Linked DNA regions of Lonchura striata. The protein of the gene in region 4 interacts with the protein of the main gene of each other region in a pairwise test. Links are inferred from orthologs where the notes say so. Each region holds a gene or a part of one and is shown on either strand. Other genes may lie near its edges.

The links.
Region 1: the proteins of RALBP1 (region 4) and CEP57 interact in binary tests that used the Homo sapiens proteins (3 or more experiments, as listed by UniProt). The two-hybrid records come from large-scale screens. The link is inferred for Lonchura striata from reciprocal best matches to the Homo sapiens genes RALBP1 and CEP57.
Region 2: the proteins of RALBP1 (region 4) and REPS1 interact in binary tests that used the Homo sapiens proteins (3 or more experiments, as listed by UniProt). The link is inferred for Lonchura striata from reciprocal best matches to the Homo sapiens genes RALBP1 and REPS1.
Region 3: the proteins of RALBP1 (region 4) and TSFM interact in binary tests that used the Homo sapiens proteins (3 or more experiments, as listed by UniProt). The two-hybrid records come from large-scale screens. The link is inferred for Lonchura striata from reciprocal best matches to the Homo sapiens genes RALBP1 and TSFM.

What each region holds. Positions count from the first base shown.
Region 1 is NC_134604.1:39,869,616-39,876,487, reverse strand, and holds the start of CEP57 (centrosomal protein of 57 kDa), read right to left. Parts: upstream 3,008-6,872; 5' UTR 2,941-3,007; coding exon 2,881-2,940; intron 1-2,880. Other genes in the region: protein FAM76B, read left to right, coding at 3,679-3,783, 3,883-3,947, 4,393-4,447, 5,973-6,128. UniProt on the Homo sapiens protein: Centrosomal protein which may be required for microtubule attachment to centrosomes. May act by forming ring-like structures around microtubules. Mediates nuclear translocation and mitogenic activity of the internalized growth factor FGF2, but that of FGF1.
Region 2 is NC_134605.1:51,578,745-51,585,736, reverse strand, and holds the start of REPS1 (ralBP1-associated Eps domain-containing protein 1), read left to right. Parts: upstream 1-3,969; 5' UTR 3,970-4,038; coding exon 4,039-4,191; intron 4,192-6,992. UniProt on the Homo sapiens protein: May coordinate the cellular actions of activated EGF receptors and Ral-GTPases.
Region 3 is NC_134629.1:5,337,676-5,344,679, reverse strand, and holds the start of TSFM (elongation factor Ts, mitochondrial), read right to left. Parts: upstream 3,010-7,004; coding exon 2,683-3,009; intron 2,465-2,682; coding exon 2,333-2,464; intron 1,194-2,332; coding exon 1,065-1,193; intron 994-1,064; coding exon 886-993; intron 512-885; coding exon 427-511; intron 1-426. UniProt on the Homo sapiens protein: Associates with the EF-Tu.GDP complex and induces the exchange of GDP to GTP. It remains bound to the aminoacyl-tRNA.EF-Tu.GTP complex up to the GTP hydrolysis stage on the ribosome.
Region 4 is NC_134603.1:51,666,741-51,673,899, reverse strand, and holds the start of RALBP1 (ralA-binding protein 1), read right to left. Parts: upstream 3,004-7,159; 5' UTR 2,916-3,003; intron 1,147-2,915; exon of another isoform or gene 870-1,146; intron 1-869. UniProt on the Homo sapiens protein: Multifunctional protein that functions as a downstream effector of RALA and RALB. As a GTPase-activating protein/GAP can inactivate CDC42 and RAC1 by stimulating their GTPase activity.

The DNA.
Region 1 (6,872 bases), on a different chromosome or scaffold from region 4:
AACAGCTTTTCTCAAAATAACTGCATTTGCACACACATTCTCTACCACAGAAAGTGAATTAAAACACTAATCCCTAATCAAGAATATTTTAATAAAACTATTTTGAACAGGTGTTTTGTTCATAAACACACTGTTTCACACTCAGCAGCCTCACAAGTCTAACCAGAACACATGAATCCACCTAATCAAAAGCCTGTTAGGTGCTAACATCAAAAATGTCATTAGCATTACAGGATATGGCATTGATGAGCACACAATAGTAAGACCAAATGATGGAGTAAAAATGAACCAAGCAAAACACGAACAGCAGCAACATAAGCCTCAGTAAACCAAACAGTAACTATTGATTCAAATATCAATATCCTGTCTGCCACTGACTCAAACCAAAGGTACCCCATCAAGCAGTCAAAAGAAAAAGGGGAATCAGCTTGAAGCCAAAGTAGGGCTGGACAGCATCACAATCCTTCTAGATGTCATTATCATCTTTTATGTCTTCACAGGTAAAGTTTTGTCTAAAAATTAAATGTAACTGCATAAAAACACCGAAGTAAAGGAATTCTTCTGTTTGTTTTTACTGCCATTAGTAACATTTTTCTAGCCAACAGCAGTCTAACTGAAAGAAAAAGCTGCTGTACTTAAAACCCTGGAGCACCAAACTAACACAAAGCAAAGCAAATTGAGTCTTTTGGCTGGTTACATGTCACACGGATGCAGGCAATAGGACCTAATTTGAACAGCCAGTAATACTAATTTGAATAGTGTAATAGTCAGTACAGATATCTGCTTCAAATAGCTACTGAAAAAAATTGTGCTGGAATATACTCTATTACACAGACAATTGCTCTTTTTTTCAGTCTAAATAATTTGCTACCACACATATATTTCTCACCTACTTTTAAGCAAAAGAGTGGCTTATATTCAGTTTCATAAATAACAACTTTAAATCATTTGACTGAATACTTTGGGAAAGTTTACCAAACAGCATAGAGGAATTTCCCATCACAAAGCTCAAACATCACAGTGATTCTCTGCTCTTCCCCCCTATCTCTGAAGTCATTAAAAACCATTTAAATTTGCTCCTGCTCTGGAAAAGTCTCACAGGGAGTATCATGCTCTGATGCTCAGGAAAACTGAGAAAAAAAACAAAACAGGAAGCCCTATATTGTTGTTCTGAAACTCAGTTAGATCATGTTTGCTAACTATATCTCCTCTCTTTCAGGATACTCCTCATAGTCTTTAAGCTGCACTAAAGCCTCAGAGTAGTAAGTGAAGAAGCTTAACAGTCCCACAAGGAGACAAATGCACCCTATTACATAACAGTGAGCTGAGCACTTCTTATCTTCACAGGTCTGAGAACACTGCCTCCCAAAATATCAGCTGCCTCCTCAAGCAAAAAGAAGGGAATATTAAAAACACAGAGCAGAGATAACTTAACAAATCACCAGCACAGGGACCTCCCAAAGCTCTCAAAGGCTAAACACAGTGGGAGGAAAACAAAGACACAAACTCATACAGAGAGTTTTTAAAAAGGGATTAAATTAGAATTGGGTGTTATTGCAAGTTCTCATCTGGGTGCTCATAACCAAAAAAGAAAGAAAAAAAGATTGATACCTGGCAATGCTTTAAGCGATACACAGCAGCCTCTGCACATGGCTTAAAAAAAAAAAAAAAAAAAAAGCCAACCCAGGAAAATTATGTAGGGAATGAGAAAAAAAAACCAAAAATAACGAAAAAAACCCAAAAATAACGAGATACTAAATGTAGTGATTATGAAACATTCAAGTACCCAGTCATTCAAACTAGGAATGGAGGGAAGGGGAAGGAAGGACAGCTCCTATCACCCACAGGCCAAGTTAAGTGCTGGCTGTGCCTCCCTGATAGAGACCGAGTCAGGAGCACTCTACATTTCAGTAACATTTCTAGTTAAAACAGACATTAAAAAGTTAACTTAGTTAAGCAATTACATCAAATGGAGAGGAAAAAATGTTGACACGATACAGTATTTTTTGTCAACTATCTGCTGTAGAGTGCCAGATGTATACAGTAGGTAACTTTTTTCCCCAAAAGTTCTGTTTGGCTTACCAAATCTATTAAATAGCCTACATTTACCTACTGTAGACTGAAACGAGTTTTCTGAGATCGCTCTCCAGGCTTGCTAGAAACAATTTTGGTGAGGAAAGAGTGCCCAGATTCCTCTTGCTGGCCCAGGTATGGGAGCACACTGCAGGGCAGGAGACACCCAAGAGAACCCCAGGCCGGGCGCTCACCCCGGCAGCGAGACCCCAGACCCGCAGAGGAGCGGACCACCCCTCCGCAGCCTGCTCCTCCAGGGCGCGCCCAACACACAGCTTCTCACGCGAAAAACTGCCAAAACACGGAAAAGCAACTAAAACAGCAACTTATTCCGGAAAGCGGCGAACACCACAGAGCCCGAAGCCCCGGGACACGTCTGGGAGCAAACCAAAGGCAGCATTTTGTTCCGTTCACCTGCAAACACCATCTCCAGACGCTGGCGTGGGGACAGAAAGATGCTCAACAGCAGAGTATCTTTTCTTCTGTCGCTTTAGAAAACACGCGTGAATGCACCATAGGTTTACACATACACATATACAGATATACATACAAACATACACATGTGTATATAGGCATGTTTATACACACACACACACGTATACACACATAAATATATATATGCACACACATAAGCATCTATATACACGTGTAGATACACACACACACGTATATATATACACACACATGTATAACAGACAAGCCAGCTTCCACAGCCCGTACGGCTCCCGGCACGCAAGCCGCCGGCCCCGCGCTGCCCGGCCGCTACCCCCCGGATTTCACAAGCGGCCCGCCCGTCCTGCTCCTCACCGCGGAGAGACGCCCTCCGAGCCCCAGCGTGTGCGGCCGGCCGCCCCTAGCTGCCGCCATGTCGGCCACAAGGGAGCCCGCTCCGGCCCATGTCACTTTAAGGCTCGGCACCCGCGCGGCGGCTCGCTCGCTTGACTGCTATCCCAGCCTGCCAATGAGAAGGGAGGACCGCGCGTAAGTCCCGCCCCGTCTTCCTCTCAGCCTTGATTGACGCGGAAATTGTCCAATAAGAGAAGAGCGAGGGCGCCGCTCGGCCAATCGAGAGGGACGGGCGGCGGGCGAGCCCCTGAAGCCAGCGGCGCGGGCGGGGGGCGGCGCGTGGGCACGCGCGGAGGGAGGATGGCGGAAGAGGCCGGCCTTTGTCAGAGGAGCCCCCGCGCCTGGGCCAATGGCAGCGCAGGGCCGCCGCCGCCGCCCGGCGCAGGGCAGGGCGCCCGCGGCGGGATTGGCGGCGGCGGGGCCGGCGGGGGCGGCGATTGGGCGGCGGCGTTCGAAGGCAGGTTTGGCGCGGGGCGGCGATTGGCTGCGCGGGCGCAGCGCGAGCCCGGGCCCGGGGCGGAGGGAGGGAGGCAGAGAAGGAAGGGCGGGGGGCGCGCGCGGGGTGACGCCGCCGCCGCCGACACAAGGGGGACGCGGGCGGGCGGCGCGCGGGGCCCAGGGCGGCACCGGCGGCAGCGGCACCGGGACGGCGGCGGCGGCCCCGGCTCCTCCTCGGCGGCCCCGGCGGCCGCTCCGTCCCTCGCCCCGGCGGCACCTCCCCATTCCCCTCCCTCGGCCCGCCCGTGTCCGCCCCGCCGGATGGCGGCGGCGGGCGCGGCGGCCGCCCCGGCGCTTTATGCCTGCACCAAGTGCAACCAGCGGTACCCGTTCGAGGAGCTCTCGCAGGGCCAGCAGCTGTGCAAGGTGCGGCGGCGGCCCCGGCCGGGGCTGCTGTTGGGGCGGCGGGCGGGGGCGGAGCGGGGCCGGGGCTCGGCGGGCAGTAACGCGGCGCTGTCCCCGCAGGAGTGCCGCATCGCCCACCCCATCGTGAAGTGCACCTACTGCCGCTCCGAGTTCCAGCAGGAGAGGTACGGCGGGTTCTGCTCGGGGCCGGGCGCGGTGGCACGAGCGGGGCCTGGCCGGTCCCGAGAAGAGCAGGCTGAGAGGGGATCCATCAATGCATGTAAATACCTCCGAGGCGGGTGCCAAGCGGGTGGTGCCCAGCGACAGGACGAGGAGCCGTGGCCATACACTAAAACACAAGAAGTTTCACCTCTACATAAGAACTTACTTACACTGAGGGTGGCAGAGCACTGCATCAGGCTGCCCAGGGAGGTGATGGGGTCTCCCTCTCTGGAGACGCTCAGGATCCGCCTGCACGCGTTCCTGTGTCGCCGCTCTGGGTGACTCTGCCTTGGAGGTCCCTTCCAACCCAAGTCTTCTCAGAGTCTGCTTGCAAGTAATTGCATGGGGAACAATGTCAAAGTGCATGTTTGTCACCTAATTCAATGTTGTGCTATTTTATCTCTTTAGCAAAACCAACACAATATGCAAGAAATGTGCCCAAAACGTGAAGCAGTTCGGAACGGTGAGTAGTTACTTGGTTCTTTATGCTGAAGTTTAGCTTGTTTGTGCTTCAAACCAAAAACAAAATTCTCTTGCTACTAATCTTCTTATTTTCTTTTGAGGAAAAAAAAAACCAAACAAATCCACACTATAGATTGCCATCTAGAAAGGTGATGGAAAAGCCTGACATATCCTGATTTCCTCTGTGGGCTACTGTTTCTTTTCCCAAATTGAAACCCATTTAGGTAATATATAGCTTAACAGTTAAGAATAATTTCAATATAGCTATTTGTAACAAAGCAATGTTATTTCACACCACACACGTTCCATTATTCCCTGCATATTTTCATAAGCACATGCTTCATGGCAGGAAGACCATTAGCTCTCATTGTTCTTAACAAGTGGTAAATGTGGAAGTCTAGTAATACCACATACTTTATATAACGTAAGTCTTAAAAAATGCATATTAATCGTGTTAAACTAATAGGTACAAAAGATTTGGAGTATTATCAGCATTCATGTTACTTTATATTTTCTCATGTTGTATTTTAGCTTCAGTTCTGTTGGAAAAATTAATTTTTCTATCATATGAATGCACACATTCTATCTGAGCTACTGTGCAGATATGAGTTTTTAGGAGGTATCAAAATAATCTTGTGAAACAAAAAGGCATGACTTCGCTATATTTGACATAAACTGTATTAGTTGAAATTCAACTTTTTTGAGAAGCGTAATAGCTGTTGGTATGTAGTCAGGCACTTTGTGAATGTGTATGTAAACTGAACAAAGAATTGCTTTCAGAAGCTTAAATTGCAGCAAAATGAATTGCAGGACAGAACCATCAACGATTTTATCAGTAGTTCATCAAAAAAAAGAACTGCACTGAAGATAATGAGCCACTTCTAACCTATGAAAACTGACATCAATTTTATTTTTCAGCACTCTATTAGTCTAGTTGACTGTATGATATAAAAGTTGATAACCTGACCTGATAGTTCAGATCTATTTGATTGCTTTTTGTTTGGTGGTAGGGTTTTTTTTTGTTTTGGTTTGGTTTTTTTTTAAGTTTCCTGCAGAATTTCAGGGATTAGGATACTAATCTTGGAACTGTAGGGTTATTGAATCCCTGAGCTGTGCAAAGGAGAGGGATGCCATCAGAGACTTCCAGTCTAAAAAATATCACTTGATTACTCTTATTTTAAAGTTGTGCAAGTAATTTCTTAAGTAGTGTGGCAAGACTGAGAGAAAATATATTTTAAAAAATATATTTAAAAAAATAAAATGCAGTAGGTGTAGAGATTAGTAACCAGATAGATGTGTGCTTCTTTTTTTGTGTCTGGGTTTTCATGGAAAGTCTAGGCTGGTTTTAATCCTTGCAGAAGCATCACTTTAGAGGAAAAGTTTAACACTGAAGATAAAAATGGTAGGAAAAAGGTTCTTTAAGGTAGATTATTTGAAACTCTTCCAGTTTCGAAGCATGATTGTATGAATTGAAATAGCAGAAGTTTCATTACTGCAAATACAAATGTATTGACTTTTTTTTTCAGCCCAAGCCTTGTCAGTATTGTAACATTATTGCAGCATTTATTGGCACAAAATGCCAGCGTTGCACCAACTCAGAGAAGAAGTATGGTCCACCCCAGACCTGTGAGCAGTGCAAACAGCAATGTGCTTTTGATCGAAAAGAGGAGGGAAGAAGGAAGGTAGGCTTTGTTCCACATCTCTCATGGCTTAGGCTGACAATAGTGTTCCTCTTTCAGAAGACAAAGATTAACAGGAATGTGTCTTAAGTTCTCTAATACTAGATTCAAGTTGCTGATATGTGCTTTACAATATTTTAATTAAATTTTGTAACTTGCAATTGTTACTTTAGCTACTGAGCTAACTTTTAATTAAATCATTTTTTGTGAAAATAGGCATATGTGTTCGCAGACAGTTGTATCTGGGGAACAGAAGTTAAACAGCTCAACAGCTCCTCATATTTTGATATTTATTTTACTTTTTTTTCCTATCCGTTGGATTTCTTGTATGTTCATAACTTGAGTCTGTCACTTTACCTCTTCTTATTTGCCTGCCTTGCCTTTAAGTAGAGCACCAGAGAGGTAGACTGCTCTGAGCAGCCCTTTGTGTTCTGTTTTGTTAAATAGCTTTGGTGAGTGCCACTTTCTCATTCCAGAAGGTGCTGAGAAAATGACCTCAAAAGCCTCTTGACTGAACCCAAGGATAATGCTGTTTTTACAGAAGAATTTACTTGGTACAAGTAACAACGTTGTAAAAAAGACTCGTCCTTTTAAAAAGTTTTTGTTATTTCTGCATTGTAGAGCAGGTCCAAAAATTGCTAGGACTCTTTGTAGCATAACTTTAAAGGACAAGTGAAATAAGATTCACATTACTAAAAGAAACTTACATATACTGGAGATACAATAACGATGTTTCATAGCAAAGAT
Region 2 (6,992 bases), on a different chromosome or scaffold from region 4:
AAAACAACCTTGCACTTCAATCCCCTTGGGTCATTGGACTTGGCCTTTCTGTGACAATGATGATTTTCTCTAATGGATGAATCCTTTGATAGCAATATATGTAATCTAACAGTTTCTTCATAGACAATAAAATACAGTAAAATTAGGCACCACATGGAGAATAGTTTAACTATTAGCTATTCAGAACTCTGAATTCTAAGAAAGTACATTAAAAAGACAAGAATAGGTACAATACTTAAAAATCCAGGACAAAAAGGTCCTTTTCTTGTCCTGTTTAACACATAAATCAAGATACTTGAATCAAGTGTTTCATGTACTGAAGGCTGAATCTACTGTATCAAAAATATATCACTAATGATGTGTTTTGGTGGGTATTTCATCATAAACCTTCTTCGTGTATCTAATATGAGCTCTGGAGAATGCTGTGATACAAATCTTCCCAAACCAAAAGACCTAAAATCTAAATTGTTTGTGTCAGTTGCACTTGCAAGTGCCATTACAGAGAAGTTACTCACTTCTTACTAATATGCATAAATATTCCTCAATTCATCCTGTGGCAAACAGCATATTTTCCAGACCAACAAAATTAATTGCCATTGAAAAGCCACTGAAAAGTTTTAATTATTTATCTCGATGCTTAGTCTGGCATGATGGACACCAGTAAAGTTCTGAACAAAAAATCCCTCCTTGGGCTGGAGGTTTTTAGAGGCTGATCAGGGGAGGGAAGGACAATCCCATAGTCAAACATAAAAACATTGAGGTAAAGATGCTGCGTTCACCTGTAGATCTTTGGAAGTAGAAATTAATTTGCTACACATCATGTCATTTCTATTATTTCTGCTCAGTCTTTGAACTTACACAAAGCAAGTATGTAAGTTTATGGTACAGGAGTTGGAAATGAGACCCAACAAACTGATTCCCAAACTACCTACCTGAACAGCTTCAGAGATGATGTACCACAGGGAAAAGCATTCATCTCTCCAGTAAGACATGACGTGACATTTTCACATGACATATCATGGATTTAGTGAAATGTACAGTTATTGAACGCACTTCAGAACTGTTTGACACTTGGATATGTGGGACTAGTCCATGCTGGGGAACTTCCTCCTTGCATTAGTCTTTGTGTCTTGTACAAACTGATGCAAGCCAAATTATCTCCATTAATGAATAAAGAGGGTTCTTGCTGCAAAGATGCAAATAATAAAATAGCAACTCAATAAAACATCCAGATTACCCACTCAAAATAATATGTCCAAATTACTCTTACAAATAAACTTCAGAATTATTTTGACAACAGAAGTATTTTAGGATCCTTATAGGTAAAAATATATGCATATATTAATGTTTTAAACTCCAACGCCTGAACTAGCCCACAATCACTGTAAGAAGCAAAGGCACTTGGAACTCAAACTCTTACTGATAAGTGATTAAAAAATCTATTCTACACATGCCTCTGTGTAACTAATAGAATCACAATATGCAGTTTAGCCATGGAGGGTGGTCATAACCATTGTACTTGCAGAGATACTGATGTGACAATAACTCCAAGTAAGTGACCAATGATGCTAAATTGGCCTAATCTAAGTCTATAAAATCATAATAATTAGATATAATATTTTTAAAAAGTTATTTCTTTAATATAGGCTATTTCAAGGAATTTTAACTTAGAATGTGATTGATCTGTTTGGTTTCATCATTAGTGTCATTGGAGTTGCAAAAGTTTGAAAATGGTACATTTCTGGGAAGAACCTTTGTCTATTATTTTAACTATAAACTAAAGTATCTGTGATTTTCAGAAACTTAGCAGAAAACTTTAGCTGTGTATTTCAAATATTAAGAAAGACAAATGTCTAGGTAAAAAAATGTAGCTATCTTAAGAGGCAGAAAGGATGAGGTGCTTAAGGGAAATAGAGCATTCAGCAGCAGCAATTTGGAAAGAGAAACATTGGAAGAGTTGTGAAGGAAGGTGAAGTGGAAAAAGAAAATAAACATAACTTAAGAATGGCAGAAGTATATGAAGTAGGGGACTGCCAACTCAGCAGGATTTAAATCAGACCAGTTAGTCAAAAGGTCAGGCAGGAGACCATGGCGTTTGTGAGATGCCCTCCAGAAGCCGAAGGAGCTTGGAGACAATTTTTTTAGTGTACTGTAGGAAAAGTATAGATCTACCAGGGGGACCTAATTTCATCCTTCCAGTATCTGTAAGAAGCCTAAAAGAAAGATGGAGAATTACTATTTACAAGGGCATATAGTGACAGGACAAGGAGGAATGGCTTCAAGCTGAAAGACAGTAGGTTTAAATAAGATATAAGCAAGAAATTCTTTACTGTGGGGTTGGTGAGGCACTGGAACAGATTGCCCAGAAAAGTTGTGGATGCCTCATCCATGGAAATGGTCATGGCCAGGTTGGATGGAGTTTTGAGCAACCTGGTTTAGTGGAGAATGTTCACAGCAGAAGAGGTAGAACTATATGATCTTTAATGTACCTTCCAACCCAAACCATTCTACAATTCTACCCAAGGAAATACACAGAAGCTCAGAAAACAAATCCAAGAGAGGCACATGGAGCAAGAGCTCTTGATGTGGAGATAGGTGAGCTCTTGCCTATTCTTCCTTGCAAGGCCAATGTATGGAGCTATTATCCAAGCCACTTGTTGTGTGCTATGCGGTGCTGATGAATACTGTAATGCTGGTGGAAAGAGGAAGCATACAGAGGAGGGCAACCACTTATAGCTGGGCCTATATGGCATAATAAGCTGCCCTTTTATCAGCAAAACCTGCACTGGGGATGATGTCAAGTGCCCCAAGCCCAGCAGAAGTGATTATTCTCCTGTACTCAGCACTGGTGATGCTATACTTTGAGTCCTATGTCCAAGTTCTGGGTCCTTCAATTCAGGACAGACATTGAGGTGCTGGAGCAAGTCCAGAGATGGGCATGAGGAGCAGCTGGGCGCAATTAGCCTGGAGAAGGCTCAGGGGAGACCTTATCACCCTCTTCAACTTCCTGAAACAAGGGTTTAGGCAGATGTGGGTTGTCTCTTTTCCCAGGCAACCAGCGATAGGACAAGAGGACATTGTTTCAAGCTGCACCAGCAAAGGTTCCGGATAGACATGAGGATGAATTTCTTTACAGAAAGAGTGACCAGAAATTGGAATGGACCGCCTGTGGAGTTGGTGGCATCACTGTCCCTGGACGTATGTAAGGAAAACCTGGACGTGGCTCTGAGTGCCATGGTCCGGTTGACATGGCGGTGTTCAGTCATAGGTTGCAACCGATGACCTCAAGTCTTTTCCAACCTAATTGTTTCTGTGACTCTGTGAAGGCAGGCCCGGGAAGCTGCTCGGCACTGCCCCAGCCTCTCACACGACTCACTAAGCCAGGACGGCCGGGACAGTCGCGCAGCTGAGCATCCCCAGATGTATTGTGCAGCTTGCCGGGGGCCCGTGCAGTCCCGGCCGGGCCGGAGACCGAGACACCCGCACCGCGTCGGAGCGCCCGCGCCCGGCCGAGCTCCGCCCTGCGGGGCTGCCCCGCGCCGCCACACCCACAGGGGGCGCTGCGCCGCACGGCCGGGCCACGCAGTGGAGCCCGGGTGCGCGGTCTACGACTACTACTACTACTACTACTGCTGCTGCTGCTAACGCCGCTGCCAACGCCGCTGCCCCTTCGCCCCTAGAGCGCCGCAGATGGCGCCGGCACCGCGCAGCGGGGCGGGGCCGGCGGCGAGCGCCGCTGAGCCTCCTCCCCGCTAGCCCCGCCCCTGGGCCCGGCGCTTCCGCCGCCGCCGCCGGGCGGAGGGGGCGGGCTGCCCGCGGCGCTGGGCGCTCCCCACGCCTCACTTTCCGGGCGGCGGCGTGCGCAGGCGCGGGGGAGGCGCGCAGGCGCGCGGCCGCGTGGGCAGGCGGCGGGGGGAAGGTGCGAGCAGCCGCCCGCGCGCGGCCGCCGGCGGCGCGTGTGTCCCGTGTGTGCCCCCCCCACCGCCGCCGCCTCCCCCGGCCCCGCCGCCGCATGCGGATGGTCCGCGGCGTTGGAAGATGGAGGGGCTGACGCTGAGCGAGGCGGAGCAGCGCTACTTCTGCGACCTCTTCTCCTACTGCGACACCGAGAGCACCAAGAAGGCGGCGTCCAACGGGCGCGTCCTGGAGCTCTTCCGCGCCGCGCAGCTGCCCAACGACGTGGTCATGAAGGTACGGCCGCCGCCGCGGGGCCCCCGGGGGTCGGCGGGCCCGGCCACCGCCCCGCCGTGTCGAGATGGCCCCGGCCCGGCCCTGCCCTTCCCCTCCGCCCGGCCCGCGCCCCCTGCCCGCCCCGCAGCCCTTGGGCGGGGGTCGTCCCGCCGGCGGGGACTCGGGGATTACCGAGTCTTGGGGGTTGGAAGGGACCTGTGGAGGTCTTCTCGTCCAACCCCTGCCGAGGCAGGGTCCCCTGGAGCAGGTGACAGGGAACGCGCCCAGGTGGGGTTCGAGTGTCTCCAGAGAGACTCCGCCACCTCCCTGGGCAGCCTGGTCAGGGCTCTGCCGGCATCGGCTGAGGAGGCTCTGCCTCGTGCTCAGGTGGAACTTACTGTGATTTAGTTTATGGCCACTGCTCCTCATCCTGTCGCTGGGCACCACTGGAAAGAGCCTGGCACCCTCCCCTTTGAGATATTTACATGCACTAATGAGATCCTCTCTCAGTCTTGTCTAGACTAAACAGGCCTAGCTCTGTCAGTCTGTCCGGATAAAAGAGCTCCAGACCTTGATCACCTTTGTGTCCCTCCGCTGGACTCTCTCTGTTAGCTCCTTGTCATTCTTGTACCGAGGAGCCCAGGACTGGACACAGTAGGATGGAGCTGTTTGACCGGCCACCTGAACCCCTCCAGCTGCAAGGGGAGGGCAGGGGGCACAGCGAGTTGTGCACCGTGCACCCTGTGCCAGCCTCCCCTCCCCTTATGTACCTCCAACTGCAGGGCTGGGAAGGGGCTGGTGGTGTCTCTGCTGGCAGCCTCCAGCAACTGGTAGGAAAATGTTCCATGCCAACAGAGGCCGTCCATAGCGTGAGAACTGTAGAGTGTAAAACTGAGAATGAGTGAGATTGTCCCCATGATCTGCTGATGAAGGGCAGCATAGAAGGAAATTTGGTTTTGTGTCCTTGGGAGCTACTGACACTGGTCCACTTCACCTAAGCCATGCAGTCTTTTTTGGACATCACTTGCTGGAAGGTATTAACTTACCTGTAGTCAGCCAAATGTTTCTATTAACAAAAAATGTGGTGTTAAGACTGACACGGGCCCATACTTGCAGTATGTATGTGCCCAGTTTTAGCATTTCCTTGGTCAGGTTATGTCTAAGACGTGTAGCAGTATTGCAGAGCTACCTGCATAGGAAAGGGAAAGTCTGCTTTGGTGTGCGTAGGTACACATTTGAGGAACGTATTCCCAGTGAACCATTCTTATGAATGGCTATTTGTAATAATTTGCTGCTTCTGCAGTTCCCTCTGTCATTGTTCAGTGCTTTAAAGTGTGCGTAGTCTTTTAAGCTCCTGTGGGTAAACCTGTATTTAGAAAGCCATGCTGCCTTTTGTGCAGTTTCATCCTCAGCCTAGTGAGATAACCAGCACGAAGTATTAAACTTACTATTGCTAGAAACATAAATTGCAAGATACTGAAATTCAGTGCCAGGAGAACACTTACTGACTAAGGTTACTGTTGGTGTGTTTTGGGCTTCCCAGCTTGGTTAGTTGAAATGAGTTTAAGATACAATGAGGTGGAAGAAGGCTGAATAAGAAATGGTTCTTCCTGGTAAAACCAGTAATCTCTTATTTGACGACTTGCTATACTGGACTTAATGGTAGGAGAGTCTGCGTGCTCAGTATTATGAGTAAGGTTTCTCAAGGGCCACCCATGGCTGCTTTTTGTTTGTAGCAAGCCAGTTTCAGAAAAATCATCCCAGGGAAAGTGAATGTTTACATCTTTGCTGTGTTTAGAAGTTTCTTTTACATAAAACTTGTCTGAATCAGTGTATAGTAAGCTAGTGCTAGAGATTTTACTTTATGCAGGAATTTAGTGAAAGAACTTGGAAAGACCTGAAAAAAGTGTCCACAGGTTATATCCTTGTCTTTTGCATAGGAGGTCAGATATTTTCCTGCAAAGTAGACTTCATCTGAAGAAGAGAGACTACTCGGGCATCATTCCATGGGTCCTAAATAAATTAGCTGAAGTAGACCTGGCTTATCACTCTAGTGATCTCAAGGAGAACCTTGCAGTTAAAATGGCAAACAAGATATTAGATTGCCTGAGGAATGAGACTGTAAATAGTACAAAGAAAGTTGAAATGCCCTTAGCAGTTTGACCCATTATGAGTATCTTGTGCAGTCGCAGTTGGTCACCTGTAAAGTACTTTGTCCTTTGAAAACAATTTAGTTGTGTAGTTATTTTGCATACTTCTTAAGGTATGGCTCTACACCAGGTTAACACAGGCATAAATATATTGGGGTTCTTCAAAGGGAAGTTGCATTTGATGCTTTGAAAGCTGAGACTATGTAACTTAAACCTCAAGATGAAGTAGCTTAAGAAATGAATCCTGTGAAGGAGGTGGAATTTTCTTTTGACCATATGAGTGCTATGTTTTTACCTGTTCATTTGAAGCACCTGATGCTTGTGGGGAAATGAACTTGATTCAGTTACTTAATCCTTACATAATCCTGGAATGCAAGTGTAGTACTGGTCACATGAATGCTAAGTACTTTTGTAGGTGTGCAAAACATAGCGTAAAATGGTCGCTCTTCAAGCTCACGGGGAGCAAGTAGTCCTAAGGAACTACTTCCTAGTTTTTCCTTTTCAGTACTACAGGTTGGTAGGTACCTTTGAATAGTTCAGAACTAATTCCATTGGAAATGAAAATGTCTGACACTTGCATTTTTAGATTCATAACTTGTTTTACTTGCAAATCGGTTGTGTAAAGGCTGGATAGATGTGCAGCCTCTTTTGCAAAGAGTTATGTCCTTGTAA
Region 3 (7,004 bases), on a different chromosome or scaffold from region 4:
GGGACTGGGGGTGCTGGGGAGGGACTGGGGGCACTGGGGAGGGACTGGGGGTGCTGGGGAGGGACTGGGGGTGCTGGGGAGGGACTGGGGGCACTGGGGAGGGACACTGGGATAGGACTGGGGGTACTGGGGAGGGACTGGGGGCACTGGGGAGGGGCACTGGGATGGGCACTGGGGAGATTGGGATGGGCACTGGGGAGACTGGGGCACTGGGGTGGGCACTGGGGAGGGGCACTGGGGGCACTGGGATGGGCACTAGGGGCATCACCGGGGTTGGGGTTCAGGGAACTTCGGGACATAAAGGACAAAGAGACAAACTGGGATTGCACAGACAGGGCACTGGGCAGACTGGGAGTGCTGAGACAGACACTGGGCAGAGGGGGATGTACTGGGATGTACTGGGAGGGGCACGGCGTCCCCACTCACCCATGGCCAGTGCCAGGTGGTCGCTCAGCAGGTCCCCCCCGTGCCCTGCCCGCACCTGGGCCAGCTCCTCCTCCCGCAGCAGGAGCTGGGGGACCCCGACAGCCTGGCACCCCAAACCTGCCCCAGCCACCCCCAAACCCTGCCCCAACACCCCCAAAACCTCCCCCAGCCACCCCCAAACCCTGCCCCAACACCCCCAAAACCTCCCCCAGCCACCCCCAAACCCTGCCCCAGCAGCCTGGCACCCCAAACCTGCCCCAGCCACCCCCAAGCCCTGCCCCAACACCCCCAAAACCTCCCCAAACACCCCCAAACCTGCCCCAACACTCCAGGCACCCCAGCACCCCCAAGAACCCAACACCATCTGTGCCACCCCCAGTCCCAGAACGCCCCGGAGCCCCAGAGCCCCCCTGGCACCCACCTTGGTGCTCGGAGCCCCAGAGCCCCCCTGACACCCACCTTGGTGCCCGAGGCCCCCTGGCAGTGCTCCAGGACCCCCCTGGCCGCCATCTCCACCAGCCGCTGGAAGTCGGGGGTCCGCGCCACGAAATCCGTCTCGCAGCCCACCTGGGGGGGACACGGTGACCCTGGGGGCACGGGGACCCCCGGGGGGGACCCCCGCAGCCCCCGGCACTCACCTCCACCATGACGGCGGCCGAGCCCTCGCTCAGGACCCCCACGAGCCCCTCCCGGGCCCGGGCAGCCCCCGGGGCCGCGGCGCGCGCCCAGCCCTGGCGGCGCGACTCGGCCTCGAGCCAGGCCTCGGCCTGGGGACAGGGGGACAGGGGTCAGCTCGGTGTCCCCGGGGCTGGCGGGGTCACCTCGGTGTCCCCATCACTGACAGGGTCACCCCGGTGTCTTCTCTCATTGACAGGGTCACCTCGGTGTCCCCATCACTGACAGGGTCACCCCGGTGTCCCCATCACTGACAGGGTCACCCCGGTGTCCCCAGGGCTGGCGGGGTCACCTCGGTGTCCCCATCACTGACAGGGTCACCCCGGTGTCCCCATCACTGACAGGGTCACCCCGGTGTCCCCATCCCAGACAGGGTCACTGCTGGCTGTCCCTGTCACACTGACAGGGTCACTGCTGGCTGTCCCCTGTCACTCACAGGGTCACTGCTGGCTGTCCCTGTCACACTGACAGGGTCACTGCTGGCTGTCCCCATCCCAGACAGTGTCACTGCGGCTGTCCCTGTCACACTGACAGTGTCACTGCTGGCTGTCCCTGTCACACTGACAGGGTCACTGCTGGCTGTCCCTGTCCCTGACTGGGGGGTGGCACAGACCAGCCCCGAGCTCGTGGCCATCCCCCTGCCCGGGGACCCCTGGAGCCCCCCCGGGCTCATCCCCCCGCTCCCCACCCCCTCACTCTCCCCCCGGGTGCTGAGTCCCCTCCTGGTGCCCCCCGGTCCCACCCCCGTTCCCCCCCGGTCCTGCCCCCGTTCCCCCCGGTCCTGCCCCCGTTCCCCCCGGTGCCCCCCAGGTTCTGCCCCTGTTCCTCTCGGTCCCACCCCCGTCCCCCCCCCGGTGCCCCCCGGTCCCCCATCGGTCCCAACCCCGTTCCCCCCTGGTCCTGCCCCTGTTCCCCCTGGTGCCTCCCGGTGCCCCCCAGTCCCACCCCCGTTTCCCCACGGTGCCCCCCAGGTTCTGCTCCCGTTCCCCTCGGTCTCACCCCCGTTCCCTCCCTGGTTCTCGCCTGTATCCCCCCGGTGCCCCCCGGTCCCGCCCCCGTTCCCCCCGGTGCCCACCTGCCGCAGGTCGCCGCCCCCCCGTGCCCCCCGGTCCCGCCCCCGTTCCCCCCAGTGCCCACCTGCCGCAGGTCGCCGCCCCCCCGTGCCCCCCGGTTCTCGCCTCCCCGTTCCCCCCGGTCTCGCCCCCGTTCCCCCCGGTGCCCCGGTGCCCACCTGCCGCAGGTCGCCGCCCGCCCGCTGCAGCGCCTCCCGGCAGCGCAGCACCGGCTGCCCGGTGCGCGCCCGCAGCTCCCGCAGCTCCCGCAGCGCCGGCGGCGCCGCGCTCAGCCAGCGCCGCGGGGCGGCCTGCGGGACACCGGCGGTCACGGCACCGGCACCGGCACCCCGAGCCGGGCCGGACCGGGGGCGGGTCCCGAGAGGGGTCCCGGGACGGGGATGGGCACCGGGGGGCACCGGAGCGGGGAGGGGAAGGGCAGAGCGGGGCCGCTCGGGGAGAGCCGGGGGGTCCCGGGATGGGGGTCCCGGAGCAAAGTTCCCGGGGGTCCCGGGGCTGGGGTTCCCGCGGTTTCTGGTGGTCCCGGGGCTGGGGGGTTCCCGCGGTCCCCGGGGCTGGGTGTCCCGCGGTTCCCGGGGCTGGGTGTCCCGCTGTTCCCGCGGTCCCTGGGGCTGGGTGTCCCGCGGTTCCCGGGGCTGGGTGTCCCGCTGTTCCCGCGGTCCCCGGGGCTGGGGTTCCCGCGGTCCCCGGTGGTCCCGGGGGGGAGGTCCCGGTGGTCCCGGGGCTGGGGGGTCCCGGTGGTCCTGGGGCCGGGTGTCCCGCGGTCCCCGCGGTCCCCGCGGTCCCCGGTGCTCACCCGCGCCGCCCCGAGCGCGCCCAGCGCCGCCCGCTGCATCCCGGCCCGGCCCGGCCCGGTCGCGGCGCGCCGGCGGTGACGTCACCGCCGGCGCGCCGCGACCGCCCCGCGCTACGGGAGCCGGGAGGGGTCAGAACGCGGGGCCGCGATTGGCTGCCGCGCTGTGTGACGTCACGCGGAGCCCCGGGATTGGCTGAGCGGAATTTGGGGAGGGGGGAGCGCCAAGTGCCCGGCCCGAACCCCCCCGGACCCGAGAGACCCCCAAACCTCACAGACCCCAACCCGAGAGACCCCTGACCCACACAGAGACCCCCACACCTTCAGACCCCAACCCCAGAGACCCCCAGAGACCCCCAGGGACCCCCAGCCTCAGAGACCCCTGACCCACACGGACCCCAGCCTCAGAGACCCCCAGAGACCCCAGCCTCAGAGACCCCTGACCCCTACAGACCCCAACCCCAGAGACCCCCACAGATCCCCCCAGCTTCACAGACCCCTGACCCACACAGACCCCAACCTCAGAGACCCCCAAACCTCACAGACCCCAGCCTCAGAGACCCCTGACCCTCACAACCCCCCCGACCCTCACAGACCCCTGACCCTCACAAAGCCTCCGACCCTCAGACCCCCCCACACCTGAGAGACCCCTGACCCTTCCTGACCCTCAAAGAGCCCCCCACCCTTATAGACCCCTGACCCTCACAGACCCCCCCAGACCTTCACAAAGCCCCCCACCCTCATAGACCCCACAACCTCAGAGACCCCCCCACAACCTCAGACCCCCCCACCCTGACAGACCCCAGACCCTCACAAGACCCCAGAGCCTCATAGACCCCCCCCAAGCCTTACAGACCCCAGACCCTCAGAGACCCCCTGGTCCTCACAGACCCCAGACCCTCACAGACCCCCCCAGACCCTCACAGACCCCCCCAGACCCCAGACCCTCACAGACCCCCCACCCTTGTGGCAAATGACGGGAGACAAGCCCATTCTATAATGTCAACAAGTCTCCGTTTATTCCAGGCACGCAGGTACAGTTATACCCGTTATAATGAAGCTCATGCATATTGCAAATTTAGGCTCCTCATTGGTGTCTCTAAAAGGGTCAACCCCGCCTTTGGGGCTTTCTATGCCTGCTTTGTTTTCCCTTACATTTATCTTTTTGCTGACCATTCTACTGTTGGGAACCAGCTCACCCAAGGACGTGTGATATTGTTGGATATTGTTGCTACATCCACTATTGCTGCACTCTGCAATTTTCAGCTGCTGCTTCACTAACTGCACGTAGTCATGTCCTTTCTCCCAAAGCCACTCATCCACAAAACTCTCCACACTTCCCCTGTTTCTGTTTTGAACCATTAAATTAGTTGTCCACATCTTTTGAATCATACCAGCCTCTGCAGGCAGCTAAACAGGCAGGGCAAGATCAGCAAGAGCAGTAAAACAACAATCAAGATTCCCACTGCATTCATAATAAAAGTTCTTAGCCAAGGACCGATCCCTAAGCTTTTAAGCCATTCTTCTATCCCCAGACCATCTTCTTTTTTTAATTGATGAAGGCTCTGTTGTAGTTCTTTAATCTTAGCATGTATTGATACAGAATGATCAGAGAGATTCATGCAACACATTCCTTCAAATTCCTCACATCCATGTCCATGGGCCAATAATAAAAAATCAATGGCTGCTCTGTTCTGCAGTACTGCATGATTTACACTTTGTACATCCATAGCAAGCATGGCTAAAACCTCTAATGTTTTATTAAGTCCATCTTTAGCCCAGCATTTTAATTGTTCAGCTAACACCATAGCCTTTCTGGCAGCTCCTCCTGATAACAGGGTTGCTACTATTATTTGTTTCAAAGTACTCCAAAATTGAGGTTGTCCAACCTGATCACATTCTAAGTCATGCACATCACACTTTTTCCTTTTCTTCCCTAGCCTGTCCCATTGCATTAGCAAGGACATATTAGGGTGGCACAGCGCTAGTTTTCCTAGGTAACAGGGTCCCCCTTGTGGTTTTACTGGTATTCCATTCCAAGCTCTATCTCCACAGATCAAAAATACACCTTTTGACAACCTTAAGGGTTTGGTTATCTTGGAACCATCACAGTTGGAATATAACTGTGATGCTACCCTACCTGAGTCCAGTGAAGAGTCCAGAGAAGCCCATTTGTCTCTTGGGTTATTTAAATTCTGCAAGTTCAATGGAACAAAGCTAAACCATCCTCCTGTCAAAACATTCCCTAAACTAGCATTGGCACTTCCAAAGAGATCTAATTCTTCTGGTGGAGATTGTAATGTTTCTTTAAGTGACAGTACCAACAAACATTGCCTGTAGCCATCTCTTTGAGCTCCTGTGTAATCAATATTCTTGTCTGGCCCTTTCACTTTTGCAAAATTCTTGCAAAGTGTTTGATCCTTTACCAACCCACAAAATTCCTCTGGTCTCCAGACAGGAACACCTGTTAGGCAGGTACGAAATGGATTTGTAACTCCTCCCAAGCTCATTGATTAGTCTTGTTAGCCAAGGTTACCCAAATCTTTTCTCTGGGCTGATTAAATTGCATTAGTCCACAACAAAGATTAGTCAAAGGAACAAGATAGATTATCCACCTCATCACCCTCATGATTTCTTCCTCTTGGATTTTAATTTCAATGCCTGCACATTTTCAATAAGCCTATCTAACTCTATGTCTGGATTTCCTACTACTGGTCTTCCTAAATAAGATCTTATAGATACTTTCACCTGCTTTTGGCACCTTGTTGATAAAGTTTTTGAATTTGCTTGCCTAATTAACCCACATGTTCTGCTTCCCATCTATAAAAAGCTAGTATCTTTTGTTCTGGCACTTCAAATAACTGCAAAGCTAAAGCAACTCCTAAGCCTGTGTCTCGTATTAAATCTTTCTGCCAAGTCTCTCCCTGTGCTTGAAAGTCACGATTTTTACACCAAAAATGTCGTTTCAAAAATACTTGGTCTTCCTAGTACGTTTTTCTACTACTCCCACAAATAAAAGCAACCCAACTCTTACAATTAAAACTCCCACAACCAAGGTACTCGGGATTCTTTGGTCCCGGAATATGAACAGTCTGTAAAGCTTCAATACTCGCAACAATTGCCAGAAAAGTTGACTCTGAAGGCAAAAGTTGATCAATCACTGGGGAAAGTCCTCTTATCTCTTGAAGAATGGGTTCCACTGTGCGAATCAGCTTCTCTTTAATTCTCCTCTGGTCCTGATCCGTCAGGGGTCTGCGAGATGAATCATCCAGAGCACCCAGAGTGAACCTGTAGGGTGGAAACACAAAGATATCCCCTTCCCCAATAGAGGACCTTTGCTGGGTTCTGCCAAATACCTGTTTTAGGGTCCCTATACCTGACCCATACTTCCTTGCCCTTTTTTACTCATCTCTTTTTTGTCCCATGTACAATTTGTCCCTTTTTTGTCCATAATGTACCATTGCAGGTGGTGCCTCCGAATCCCCAAATACACACAAATGATTAAGAACAAAGAGCACTTTCATTAATCTTTCCTGAACATCTCCAATCTCTCTATGTTTTTCCAAGTATCTCTTCAAAGTTCCATTTGCCCTTTCTACGATTGCTTGTCCAGTGGGAGAATGTGCTATTCCTGTAATGTCCTTAATTCCCCACGATTTTAAAAATCTATTCACCCTGCCACCAATGTATGCAGGACCATTGTCTGTCTTGATCTGCTTTGGCACTCCCATTACTGCAAAACAACTACATAAATGCCTTATAACATGTAATGCTTTTTCTCCAGCTTGAGCCATTGCCCAGATGTATTTACTATATGTATCTATAGTAACATGAACATATTTCAGAAGACCAAAGCTATTTACATGAGTAACATCCATCTGCCAGAGTTCATTAGATGAAAGACCTCGTGGGTTAACTCCCCATCCCATGCCATGACCCCCATTATGATGACTACAGATAGGACAAGCTCTCACTATAGCAGTGGCATCTGCATGGGATATTCCAAACTCCCGTTGTAACCCTTTTGCATTCTGATG
Region 4 (7,159 bases):
GTAATACCATATAAATCCTCCACTTCGCAGCAGCTGCCCCAAGTAAACAGTCATTCCCCAGTTTTTACTGCAGCCTAAAGAAAAACTGGAAGCAGGGAGCACTGGATCCCTGCTGCTATTAAGCTTTGCAGACTTGCTCTTGCTGCCACCATCAAAATCTGTTTCACCCTTCTGTACCTCCACACCTTCAACTGAGTTTGTATTCCCTGATGTCATGCCCAAAAGGTGAGGGATGGCTGGGATGAGAAGGGTAAGTATGGACAGGAAGGGAGTCATACCAGTCCTTTCTCTAAACTCAGCCTGCATCCTTATGCTTCTGGTTTTGGCCATGGCAGGCAGAAGATGTAAACCTTATCTGCACAGCAGTCACCCTTCAACACCACCACTTCTGCGGACGCAGCCAAACTAAAACTTCCTACTCCATAAGGTGCTTCCAGCCCAACTATGGGCCCATTTGATATATTTTTTTTTTTTTTTTAGCAGCAATTTGAAAACTATGATCCATGAGGCACTGGGGAACAGCAGGAGTTGACGAAGGATAGCAAACCATGCACATAGCAAACCATGACTAGTTGTAAGAGTAGCCAATCATTCACTGATTCAACACATTAGTTCAGAGATAAGCTTGGTAGATTATGCTACATTATACCACTATAAACTGAAGGTAAATATCATACTATATTTTAGCATTCTGAGGCTAACCACATGACATCAAGCTTTACAGAAGGAAAATAAATTAGCATTTGGTGGTATTTATTGCTGAACAGCAACATCTTCCACATCAGTCTAAAACCTGCCCATAAGAAACAGCAGTGTTTATTCAGGAAACATGCAAACCTTTTCTGTAAGAAAATACAGCTAAAACTTACTGGGAAGGGTGCCTGAAGGACACAGTGGAGATGAGAACCCCAAAGAGTTAGATGCAGCGCTTGTGCATGTCAGTTTTGCTTTAAGGACATCTGCAGAACCAAGACACACAGCTCCAAAGCAGGAACACGGTTATTACAATTCCAGGACAACATACTCCAGTGCAGACATGCCCATATAGAAATGGAAATAATCTGCCCTACAGAAAAAGAACTTTCTTTCTCACATAACTACAATCACACCAGCGGTTTCACTGGGAAATCCTTACTTTGGGGAAAAGCCCCACCAATTCAAACTACAAAGTATGCCCTCCTACTCCTGAATACACCTTAACTAAGAACAATGTTGAAGTTGTGCGTGGAGTATTAAGATTTTAAGGCAGCTATTCCTATGCTCCATTTCAGATGTGGGAAGACTAAAGAAAATTTATTTTCTCCAAGCTAGAAATAAGACCCATAGGACAGGGAATGTAAAGTTCCCTACTTCAACGTAACAGACACTCTATTCTTGCTGTAGTTAGCTAGAACATTACAGCAAAAGGGTTAATAAATTTCACACACCTAGAAGTACTAAATGCTCAAAACTACAACAGTCTGGAAGGGTTTTGGTTTTTTTATTTCCACTTTATTTCTCTGTGGAAAAGTGCCCCCCAAGAGCTTGTCACACTGACTGTAGGGATTATACCCAGACTGCGCTGAAATGAACTGAAGCACAGCACCATTCACCACCAGCTGTACACAACACTCAATCAAAACCCAAATCTAAGGGATCTAAGGGATCCCTCTGCCATTTTCCTGTAAGCTGATTAATAAATTTACATCCATTACTGTTCTGCATCATATCCAATGAAGCCTTAACATCATTCCTGACAGGGTGGGTTATGGCAATGCAGAACACTCATGGTAAGCACATCAACCTGTTTCCAGATCAGAAACCTGTTTAAGGGCACAGTTAGGGCTGTTTTGCTGTGCTGAAACAAGGGACTTGCACAAATCACCCTGGTTTATGTAACAAGTAAAAAGGCCTTAGCCTGTTTTTTTAAAAATTACTATTTTCTATCAACAATTATCATTAACCTCAGGGACACTGGGGTGGAGGAAATCCACACCACTGTCATGAACAGATACGTTCAATGTGGATTGCTGGTATTTTCTTTGTCACCTGTTTGAACATCTGTTAGCACTTAAAAAAAGATGTATTTGCTCATATATAACCCACTAACATATCCTTGGAAGTGTTCAAGGCCATCTGGGATGGGGCTCTGAGCAGCCTGGTCTAGTGAAAGGTGTCTCTGCTCACGGCAGAAGGGTTGGAACTAGATGGTCTCTGAGGTCCCTTCCAAACCATTCTGTGATTCTATGATGAACAGTAACACACACTTTCTGAGCAACATTATCAGGTATGAAACACGACATTCTTAGAACCAGCTAATCACACTAGATGCAGAAAAATTACAATAACAGTAAGTTTTCTGGGTTTTAAGATAAGACTTCTAGGCGAAGGTAAAAGAATAAAAATCCCTGACCTCTCCCTCCCCACAAAAAAAAAAAAAAAAAGAAAAAACCCAAAAAAACCCAACGAAAGACGACCTTGCTGAGAGCCAACCCACAGCCCAGACTGAGCTGCAACGAGCCCCGCACGATCCAAAGGGAGCAGCCGCCTACGGAAACAGGGCGCACAAGGTGCCCGGCGCCTGCCCCCGTTAGGGCAGGAGGGACAGCGCGGGGAGCGGAGCGGAGGGAGGAAAGCAAGGGAAGGTAAACAGCCAGGAAAGGAAGGAGCGCGATGGAGGAGCAGGGGAGGCGGCGGCGCAGGGAGGGGAGCGCCGCCAGCGGGGCGGTGGGCGTGGCCGCCGGCAGCCCCGCCCCTCCCGCCGAGCGGCCGCGCCGGCCCCTCCCCCACCGGCAGCCGCGGGGCGGTGGCGGCTCGCGCCGCCCGTTGTAGGCGCCCCCCTCCCTCCGCCCCCGCCCGCCCGGGCCCCGGACGGCCCCGCGGCCCTCACCGGCGCGTCGGGCCGGGCCGGCCGCCCCCCGCGCCCCCGCACTGACCGTCGGGGGGTCCCGCTCGCCCGCGCAGCGGCTCCGGCTCGGCCTCACGCGCGGCGGGCACGCCCCGCCTCGCGCCCCATCCCGCCGCCGCCGCCGCCCGGCGCTCGCAGGGACGGGCGGGGAGCGGCGCGAGCTCACGCCACCGCGCACGCGCCGCTGCCTCGCTCCGCGCGGCCGCGAGGGCGGGGAGGTGGGGCGGGCGGGACTGGGCTCCCCGCGCGCGGAGCACGACGGGAGTTGTAGTTCCCACTGGGAACGCTGCCGGCAAGGGCACTCCAGGTTGCTGCTGGCCGCCGCACTACAACTCCCAGCGGCCAGCGCGCTGCGAGGGAGTTCCAGCTCCGCTGCCCCGCATCGCTGTTGAAGCTCCGCGGGGTCCGGCTGCTTGAGGAGACTCCGGCGGGATACGTGTGCGAAGCCCCCTCAGCAGCCGCCGGGAGCCGGCAGCCAGCAGGTGCATCAGTCCTCTGGGAACACAAGGAACGCAAGCGCCCCTGAGCCATGCGCTCAGGGCCCTTGTGGTCACGAACGCCAGGGATGTCCTGGGCTGCAGCGGGAAGAGCGCTGCCAGCAGGTCGGGGGAGCTGATCCTGCCCCCTGTTCGGCACTGGTGGGGCCGCATCTGCAGTGCTGTGCCCAGGTTTGGGCTCCTCAGTACAAGAGAGACATGGAGCTCCTGGAGCAGAGCCAGTGGAGGGCAGCAAAGATAATTAAGGCACTGGAGCATCTCTATTATGAGGGAAGACGGAGGGAGGTGGACCTGTTCAGCCTTGGGAAGAGACAACTGGGAGGGGACCTCTTCAACGTATATAAGTATTTGAAGGAGGGAGGATGCCAAGAGGATGGAGCCAGGCTCTTTGCAGTGGTGTCAAGCAATAGGTTAAGAGGCAACAGGCAGAAACTGATTCACAGGAAGTTCCACTTGGATATGTGGAAGAACTTCACTGTGCAGGTGACCATGCACTGGAACAGATTTCCCAGAGAGGTTGTGGGGTCTCCCTTGCTGGAGATATTCAAGCACCATGTGGGGACGCAGTCCTGTGTTGTGTGCTCTGGAATGATCCTTCTTGAGCAGAGAGGTTGGACTAGGTGACCCCGTGTGGTCTCTTCCAATCTGACCCGTTATGTTATTTTGAGATTCTTTTGGCAGTGATTACAGATGGGTATGGCCAAGTGAGTTGTGAGATTACACTAGTCAGAATGGGAGGTCAGCAAACACCACAAGCCATCAGTCTCAGTGGGAGCTGACACAGCCCCGCAGGTGGGGGCGCCTGGACCACCTTCCATGTGATGTTACTGCTGACAGAATTCCTCTTCCTCCGTTCACATGAAGGCTTCGGCTTCATCCACCATACAAATCTGACCTCCTGAGAGGAGTTACCCACTTCTCTCTACTGCTTTCTGGAATGCGAGAGAAATGGGGAAAGGCTCTGGATGCTGCTGGAGGTGACCTGTGCCAAGGAACACATCCCCATCTCAAGATGCATCCTGTTTACAGTGATGTTATAAGGAATTTTGTGGGGGTTTTTTGCCTCTTACAATGGAAGTTTCTGTTACGTTGAGCACCTGCGTAATTTGAATCCCTTTCAGGATTGCTCATCAACAGGGGAATTTGTTTCAGTCAGAAGCAGGGCCGATTCATTCCCACAGCCTCGAGCATAATCCCCGGCCTATTGGACACATTAATACCGTGGCAGCGTGCCACCTGCTCCATTTATTCACTTGAGACTCAGTGCTGCTTAGTCCCTGTCGAATGAGCTCTTTGTGCCACCTCCTGCGGTAATGTAAAAGGTCCCCCACAGGAATTTGTGCTATTCAGTGGAAGCTACAAAAGAGAGGGTTGTAAACACTCCGATTAGTGTTGGAGCACAGGGATATTGTCTTCACCACTTTTTACATAACCTCGCAAATTCCAGTCTCCCTCCTCCTCTCCAGAAGAAACAGTGTAACAGCAAAGGCTCACCAGGCTATTTAACTTAACATCACAGCCAATGTGTTTCTTTTTTTGTTGTATATAAAGGCCGCCTTACTCCTGGCAAAAGAAGAGAGAAGGGTTAGTTCTGTAACATCCCGTAGTAATTTGAGATGGTTGCCCATGAGGATCCCCACTTGAAGTGACAGTGGCCAGAGGCTCTCAGCGCTGAAGAATGTGTATTATTAGAGGCCACTGCCAACAAAAGTTCATGCACAATGGGCTCATCAGCTAATGAGCCCAGAATGAATTTTCTCCCAGATTTTGAGGACAAACAAATGATTGTATGCAGTGCTGGCTATACCAATTTACTGCCATGTGAAACAGATTTGGAGGGTTTCTGACTTGCAAAATTCACTGTGGTCTGGGACCAACTTACACAGACTGAGGCACTTTCTTACACCCTCAGCTTGCCTCACATTCACTCAGTAAATTCTTACTGCTTTAAAGACAAAGTGAAGCAAGGATTCTGAGGTGGCAAGCTCTCTGCATGGAAAATCAGTCTCACTGATGTACCTGAGCTTCATAAAAGTAATAAAATAATAATGGAGGAGAGCTTCAGAAAGCATTTGGTCAGGGAAAGAAAAGGGGAAAGGCATAGCTGTGTTAATAAATAATTCCTTCCTCCTACTACTACTTCAAGAAAGCCAGTTCTGGAGTTGAGTTTGTCTTGAACAGATGGGAGTCTATGTGGGCTGTATCATTCTGGGATAATTTCAGATGTGCTGTGTAATTCTCCTTAGCAATAAAGGAATACACAGCAAACATAAAAATATTTAGCTTAGGAAAGAAACGAGTTGGCCACAAACTGAAACAAACAAGTGAAACAATGAGAGCCTGAAGATACAACAGGAAAACCTAGAGGTAGTAAATTAGTTCATGCCTTTGGGGGAGAAAAAATGTTCATAGAAATTACCACAGAGCAGGAGAACAGAGCCAAAAAGGTGTATGATCCTGAACTCTGCCTAAGCAACTCCTATGAGCAGTATTATGGAGCAACAGAATCACTGAATGGTTTGGGATGGAAGGGCCCTTAAAGACCACTTATTTCCAACCCCTCTGCCCCAGGCAACCCTAGAACAGGTTGCTCAAAGCCAAGTAATTCCAAGTTCTCTGTGGTAGGAAGAAAATTTATAAATACTTGTCTTAGTTTAGGGCAAATTTGGGGAAAACCCTCTGGAAGGAGCCCCCAGAAAACAACCCCCCATGGCCCCTCCCCACCCACCTGGTTCGGGAAAAAAAAAATTTTCTCTGAGAGAAGTGGAAAAGAACCTGTTTATTTAACAAACAAAGCACTCCCCAGCACCAAAAAAAAAAAAAAAAAAAAAAAAAAAAAAAAAAAAAAAAAATTAACAACAGATTGTTGGAACTCAAAATGTCTCTCAGACATTTTTGGAGGTTCCAGGCCTTGGTCAGAAGCATTTTAGACCCTGGCAGACAGCTGAAAAACAGCTGTGATTTTGAGTTTGATCCATGGAATGATTTACCAACTTTGGAGGTGGAACAAGCAGTCACAAAGGGTTAGATAGTATAGTAAAAGTAGTTACAAAGTAGAGGGGAAATTTTTTTAGTATTGTACAGGGGGGTTTTAGCACCTGTACAGGGGGGTTTTTACTTTGTACATGGGGGTCAGAAGTTCTAAGATGGAGGAAAGTGGGCTGATCCTGTTCTTCCTCCTTCTTTTTCCTTACCTCCATGTTCTTGGTGATGCTGGCACTTATGAATTGGTTTAGAGTAGAAAAGCACTTTGTAATATAGGTAGTAGGTATTGGGGAAAAATTGTAAACATATAATATGTAATATATCATATAAAAGATAGCAGCAGCCCTGGGCGGGGAGGGAGAAGAAGACACCAGACAGTGAGGGTGTCAGGGTGTGTGTGTCTCTGCTTGGGCCGCTGATCAAACAGCCGCAGCCCGCAAAGACAATATTTTAGATAACTCACAATAAACTGCCTTGGGACCAAACAACAAGAGCCTGCGGAGTTTTTCTTTGGAAGCACGGGTTGGAGGAGAGACTTTAGCACCACACGAGACCCCTGACCAAGCCCGGGGTTCTCACACCAGATGACAACAAAACTCTTTCACCACTCTGAAGAGATGAACAAATCCAGAAAGTCTTTCCTGGGAGTGGTCGCCCGGGTCTGGACGCTGGGGATTGCTCTCTGGCACTGGGGATGTCTGCTGCAGATCACAAAGCACAGGCTCTCGGTGTTCCTTGGCGTTTCCCAGGTCCCAGTCCGGAGCAGGTTGGATGGTATTCAGGAAAAGGA